Xenopus tropicalis: one gene and its partner. The protein of the gene in region 1 binds, or shares a complex with, the protein of each later gene. Links are inferred from orthologs where the notes say so. Each region holds a gene or a part of one and is shown on either strand. Other genes may lie near its edges.

Evidence for each region.
Region 2: the proteins of senp1 (region 1) and sumo3 are in contact, whole or in part, in a crystal structure (PDB 6NNQ), measured with the Homo sapiens proteins. The link is inferred for Xenopus tropicalis from reciprocal best matches to the Homo sapiens genes SENP1 and SUMO3. Residues at the interface, in NP_001254523.1 of Homo sapiens: Gln440, Asp441, Glu446, Arg449, Leu450, Thr451, Lys455, Trp465, Leu466, Asn467, Asp468, Glu469, Asn494, Thr495, Phe496, Lys500, Arg511, Trp512, Lys514, Lys515, His529, Gly531, Val532, His533, Trp534, Gln597, Gly600, Ser601, Asp602, Cys603; in NP_008867.2 of Homo sapiens: Gln24, Ser53, Arg55, Gln56, Arg58, Arg60, Asp62, Gly63, Pro65, Asn67, Thr69, Asp70, Gln74, Glu76, Asp84, Phe86, Gln87, Gln88, Gln89, Thr90, Gly91, Gly92.

Annotation. Positions count from the first base shown.
Region 1 is NC_030678.2:143,514,108-143,517,940, forward strand, and holds part of senp1 (sentrin-specific protease 1), read left to right. Parts: intron 1-182; coding exon 183-262; intron 263-2,446; coding exon 2,447-2,531; intron 2,532-2,620; coding exon 2,621-2,716; intron 2,717-3,833. UniProt on the Homo sapiens protein: Protease that catalyzes two essential functions in the SUMO pathway.
Region 2 is NC_030685.2:55,096,652-55,099,802, reverse strand, and holds the end of sumo3 (small ubiquitin-related modifier 3), read right to left. Parts: intron 2,964-3,151; coding exon 2,892-2,963; intron 2,125-2,891; coding exon 2,062-2,124; 3' UTR 691-2,061; downstream 1-690. UniProt on the Homo sapiens protein: Ubiquitin-like protein which can be covalently attached to target lysines either as a monomer or as a lysine-linked polymer. Does not seem to be involved in protein degradation and may function as an antagonist of ubiquitin in the degradation process.

The DNA of each region.
Region 1 (3,833 bases):
TTATAATATTAATTTAGATTCTGTTTATCTTACACAAAGCTTGGAAATTCCTGTACAACTATATTATTTAGTTTTGTATAATTTTTTTATTATGTTTTATCTATCATTTATTTAAGTCCAGATTCTTGTGTACATATGAATAAAAGAGAATTAATTTGTAATGGCACTTTCTGTTTTAATAGGTTGTAGACTTTAGAAAAAAGTCCATCCTGTACTTTGATTCAATGGGCGGATTAAACAATGAAGCATGCAAAATACTGTTGTAAGTAATTGTTTTTATATGAATTTACTCACTGCCATATATAGCTGCATACTAAGCAAACCTTCCAGTTGTTTGTGGCTGCCTGGCCAAGCCAAAGGGTCAGCCAGATGTGGGCAGCCACATCCGTGCAGTGCAATTTACTAGTGGTTCACACATTAGAAGATCACATAGGAAATATCCCATGCTTGACGAAATTAAAGGGGTAGTTTACCTTTAAGTTAACTTTCAGTGTGTTATAGAATGTCCTATTCTTAGCAGCTTTTCAAATGGTCTTCATATTTTAAAGTTTTTAAATTATTTGCTTTCCTCTTCTGTCTCTTTTCAGCTTTAAAATGGGGGTTACTGATACCAAAGGCAAAAAACTGTTTGGTTCTGTTTGGCTACAATTTTACTGTTATTGTTAATTTTTATTAATTAAAAAAATAATAGGCTTTAGTTAAGGCTCTCATTTAAACCTCTGCCTAGTAATTTGGACCCTAGAAACCAAATAGCTGCTGAAATTCCACACTGGAGAGCTGCTTTAATAAAAAAAAAAAAACTAAATTAAAAACGCAGAAATAAAAAATAAAGACCAATTGCAGATTGACTCTACATCATACTAAAAGTTAGTTTAAAAGAGTATAACCCTTTTTAAGTTGACAGACTGTTCACTTAACCTGGATATTTAAGAATTTTTATTTTCAAGCAATGTTAAGTAATAGTGATGTACAGGTCGACAAAAATTCAGCCCGTGCCTGACCAGCCCATCTCTGACATCACGTAGGGGGTGGGGCAAGGTAGACACACATATAAAATTGCTTCTCCTGTAGGGGGCGCAGTTAGGAAGGGCGACAGGAAGAGGTCGTCCTGAACCTGCCCGTGACCCGAGGAACTTATGTGCGTGTTGGTGCTAGTCTGCCCGCCCCTGTGGGTCCCGCAGGTGTTGGGCTGGCCCGCACATCATTATTGAGTGCAAATAATATTGGTATTTATTATGCATAGACTGTTTTATATGGGGAAGCTTTTATATTTACTGTTGCCAAAAAAAAATAAACTCCAGTACTAAAGAGCCTGTAGTGGCTCTATTATCATGAAAAGTACAAGTTTGCTTGAGCAATAATTAAAGGAATACTGTCATGGGAAAATATATATTATATAATATATATATATATAGATATATAGATATATAGATATATAGATATATAGATATATATATATATAGATATAGATATATATATATATAAGATATATATATATATATATAGATATATATATATATATAGATATATATATATAGATATATATATATAGATATATATATAGATATATATATAGATATATAGATATATATATATATAATATAGAAAAAGGCTGAGACACACACTTATAGGGATAACAACCTGGGTGCAAATCAGATAAACAATGTAAATATGTAAAAAATGCTGATGCACACCAGGAAAATTTTATCAAAAAAAAAGATACCCGAAACGTCGATCTAAGTATCTTTTTTTTGATAAAATTTTCCTGGTGTGCATCAGCATTTTTTACATATATATATATATAATATATATATATTTTTTTTTTAAACGCATCTGTTAATAGAGCTTCTCCAGCAGAATCCTGCATTGAAATCCATTTTTCAAAAATGTAAATGGATTTTTTTATATTTAATTTCGACATTTCACATATTTCCCAGGGTGCCACAGCCATGTGACCTGTGCTCTGATAAACTTCAGTTGCAATTTATTGCTGAGCTGCAAGTTGGAGTGATATCACCCCCCTCCCAGCAGCAGATCAGCAGAACAATGGGAAGGGAGCAAGATAGCAGCTCCCAGTAGATATCAGAATAGCACTCAATAGTAAGAAATCCAAGTCCAGCTTGGGACTCCTCCAGTTATATGGGAGCAGGAGAAACAATAGGTTACCTGAAAGCAGTTCTAATGTGTAGCACTTCCTCCTGAAAGCTCAGAATTTGTTGGTTCAAGAATAAAATTTTAAATAGTAGAGTGAATTATTTGCTATGTAAACTGTAATTTAGAATAAAAATCATGACAGAATCCCTTTAATTAGTAATTTACATAAATACTGTTTCTGAGAATCAAAAGGCAAATGAATGACAGCCCACACATACGTAGATGAGCCACTTGTTCATTTGTTGTATGAAATGCTTTTGTTTTAATTATGCATTTAATAATCATCTTGCAGACAATACCTGAAACAGGAAAGCATTGATAAAAAAGGCGTAAGTTTTGACTCAAATGGTTGGACCCTTACCAGCAAGACAAGCGAGGTATGCTGTCATCCCGAATGGGTTTTAGTCATTGGTGCACAATTTTTTTATTTATTCCTTTGTAAATTTCTGATGATTTTTTTTCTTAGGAAATCCCACAACAAATGAATGGCAGTGATTGTGGAATGTTTGCCTGCAAGTATGCAGATTATATCACCAAAGATAAGTCTATTACCTTTACACAGGTATGCCAGCTCAGCTGCCTTTATGGTTATTATACTCCGATGTAGGTCCTGGGCACACATAGAGGCCAAATTTCAGACAATTGAAAGTATGATAGGAAAAATTCGGATTAAATCCGATAATTTCTGATGTGCATTTAAAAACGTGAACATTTCGTATCGTGGTGGTACGAAAATATTGTGGAATGATCTGAAAGTTGTGAAATTTTTGTATACGAACGATCTTAAACATCGTGAAAACCTTTCTGACTTTGATCCTTCTGTGCATGATTTTGGAAGCCTCAGGACTCAATGGCACTCTGCAGCTCCAACCTGGTCAAAGGAAAGTCACGATAACGAAGCTTTGAATGAATAACATTCTCATTGCGACAAATACGATTTTGTTGCACAAATTGTTGCAAATTAACAAAAAAATTGCTGAAAAAAATGCACAGTTCTAAAACTTAGAAAAAATACGAATTTTTAGTATTCATACACAATCGTACATTGATAAATGGGCCCCATAGCGCAGGATCTGCTTTTCTTCGCCTGCATTTTGTAGGCAGGTGGAGAAAAGTGGATCCACTCTTATCCACAGCTCCATGTAGCTGCATTGACAGGCTTAGCTTTAGCCAGGGTGCAGCCTCACAGAGCGAAGGTCAGCCTGAAAATGCCTGCTTTCATATTTTTATGCCTTTAACAGCACCTATGGCTGCATAGAATAAATAATATCCATAATGGGCATCCCTCCAGGTATGCATGCTAGAACTTTAGAATTGTTTGAGAGTAGGACTTCTGTTAAATATGACAGCAGTTAGACTTGCTAAAATAATAAGACTGGATTTCTTTTCAGTTGGCGATAGTGGCTGAATGCATAGGTACAGGAGAGAAAGTCTGGAACCCAGCTCAGGGGGCTTGGAATTGTAGTAAAGTTGTGCATTAGAGAGGTTCTTTCATACTTCCTAGCTTTGGGACTCCTCTCATTTTTTACAACTTTTACAAATTTCCTACAAATTTTTGTGACATTCATTTTTACAAATTTGAATGCTTTTAGATAGTTTAAATATAAAATATGTTAAAAATATATCTCCTGTTGACTCCAGTACAAGGTCACCAGGTTTTAGCTGCCACATGTTTTCAT
Region 2 (3,151 bases), on another chromosome or scaffold:
TTGTGTTACATTATGAGCTTAAGGGTGGGTGGGTGGGTAGTCTGCCATCATGGCTTCCTATGAAACAGCAGAATTACTTATTTTTCTTCAGGAATACCTATCTCAGTATGAAATGCAGTGGGCCCCCTCCTCTATTCAGTTTCGAAATGTAGAAAAAAAAAATCTCCTGTGCAAGATGACATTTACGAAACACTAAAGACTATTTTAAGTTAAATTTAGCAACAGCCATAAAACAGTTTACTTATTTGTTTGGGGGCCTGACCAGCAGCTACCCTAGCAGTGTTTTAAACTCCAGTGGGCAAGATTCAGCCAGATTCATTTCCAGGATTTCTGCTGTTTTGCAAGCAAATCTGTGAGGGTCTCTTCAATCGCGATGAGTCGCTTCTGGAACCACTTTTTAGACAGAAAAACCAAGGATTTTCATGAAACAAAGGCAAGAGCAAACAAGTATGCAAAATGAATGAAACTTTGTGCAGTGATTAAATTAAAAACAAAAAACACATTAAATGGCTCCCTGTTAATTCAAAAATCAATGTGTGCAACTGGACTTGACAACTGCGCCACAAACCAAAAAAAAATCCATTTGCAATATTTTGTTCACTAGAGAGGCTTCTAAGGGTTTATTGCAATTTTGTAATGCTTAGATGTCAACATAAAACATCTGTAATCATAAATACAGTACAACTCTGCTGCAAAAGTAAACAGAAATTCTGACTTTTCTTTATTTTGTTGAAAGAATACATTTATCCAGAAAGTACAATTAAAAAAAAAAAGGGACCACACTATAGACAACTGAGCATCATAATTCAAAATCTTAGAGATTGAGGGAGGGAATTTTTTTTATATGTATCTTTGGCTGGCACTGTAAAACTAGCACAAAGGGAAAACCTGAAGAACATTGTTGGAATAAAACTACTAACTTGCAGTATTGAACATCTTTTGCTACTGAACACTGCTAGGAAGAGCACGCTCAGATATATAAACTACAACTTCAAGAAGGATTCTTAAAGGGAATGTAGAGATTTTAAAACCGTTTTTTGGGACCCATAATTCGCACACTATAGTCGGGAACACCAAAAATTTCTGACATTGAATGGACCACCACCAAAGAGCCCATGCTGTCAGTTTTTATTTATTTATTTTTTTTAATCTGGAACTGAAAAAAGTGCTCCTGTGCAGCAGATAAAAAGCAGGGTGAGCCATTGACAAATGTAGTAAAACGTCTGAATTTTTGAAGTGCCAAAATTTTGCACTCACGCATCTAGCCTGATTTGCAGAATGGTAAAACCTCTGCTGCTATTAGTATATTAGAAGGCATGATTTTTGTCTCGCATAAGAGAAGTGGGTAAAACCTGTTGGTCCAAGCAGTCAGCAGAATTGTGCTTCATTCTCTAAATCCTATTCAGCAGTGAAACATAGCCACCCAAAGTCTTAACTCTTTTGAAAGTTTTTGTTTTTTTTTTCAGATTCAGTACCTGGGTATACAAATATCTATATATACAACCCTTACATCCTTTTGATAGATAATGTTCAAATGAAACATTTTAGCAAATAAAAGCATATCCCCTCCCTCCCATCTGCCATTACTGGTATAACAACCTTAATTTTCACATCTTTCAGTTGCCTGTGTGGGCAAGCATTTACTGTTTGCATGTCAGAGAATATGCAAAACCACACACTCTGGCATGGAACTGGCTCAAAAATTACTCAAGCAAGGATCCAATTATTTACATCTGAAGATACAGAGGGAAAAACTAAACAGAACTGCTGTAAACAAACAGTACTGCACAAAAAAGCCTGAAAACTTTCAGCAGAGAAAGACAATGCTCTAGATTGGCCCACTTTACAACTTCTGGCACGTTCAGCTGGAAAAGAAAACTGCATTTCTGATTGAATATCATCCCTGGGAGAGTCCGCCAACGTTTTCAGAAGTGTCGTGTGATCAGCATGTTTGTTCTGTGTTAACTATTTAACAGCAAATCCAAGGGGCATAGGTGAGAAATGAGGCATATGGAGGGAATTTGAGCTCCTGCCATACTGGAGATTGAACTTGTTCAGTGCTTAGCACACACCACCTGTCTGTTGTTGGAACACATCAATGGTATCTTCATCTTCCATCTCCAGCTTTGGGTCAAAAAGACAAACAAACATCTTTTTCATGACGAGGATAATGGAGAAACACAATATATATCTTTAAAGGTCTTGGGCCTGCACAGTTAAAAAGTAGCAACTACAATGATGTAGACTACCACCAGTAGTCCACATCAACCCAGACCTACAATAGGTCAGAAATAGGGGGCATATCATTTGCGACCTTGAGCTGATCTTACTGTGTATTGCCACCTTTACACTAGCTTTTTAAATTCACTATTGTATTTACTAGTATTCTATCACTATTTAGTGGCATCATTCTAGGTTTTATGTCCTGTTGCTCTTCTGCTTATCTTTACAATAGTGATGTGCAGGTTAACCAAAAACCCACAGGTTTAACCCTTAGGGTCAGGCAGGTCAGGGTTGAAGCTTAGGCAACTATTGCAGGTTTGGGTTGGGTGCAGGTCAGACAGATCCTGAACCTAAGGCCTTCACAGAAGTAATTTACACAGCGGATATTGGTATGGTGCGGGGTCCTACAATGGCAATATTTTGGGGGTTTAGGGTTTTCTTTTATTATTTTAAATACCTCTGAGAAGAAAAATGACTCAAACAACTGTACATAAAGACCTACTATCATTGCAACTTTTCCAGCTTCACTGGCAACATTAATGCTTAATGTACCTACTATGTTAAAGTTGGGAAAGGCATGATACATAAAATATACAAATTACAGCACGAATACCTAAACTAGCTTGTAGTGACACAAAAGTTGACATCAAGTATAAGCATTCACATACCTGTGCAGGTGTGTCTGTTTCATTGATTGGTTGTCCATCAAACCTGAACCTTATCTGCCGCATTGATAGGCCCTTTGAAAAGGATAAAGTATTATAATAATTTATAATGTTTTTGAAATAATTTCTAACTGCTTGATAGGGACTGCTAGCCTTTTTTATAATGATTCCCTACTCATAAGATGTCTTAGATGCCAGCTGCAAAGTAGTGCAATTTACCTTGTAGTCCTAGTGGTGTCCTAAAATAATTGTAGTTTTCATCC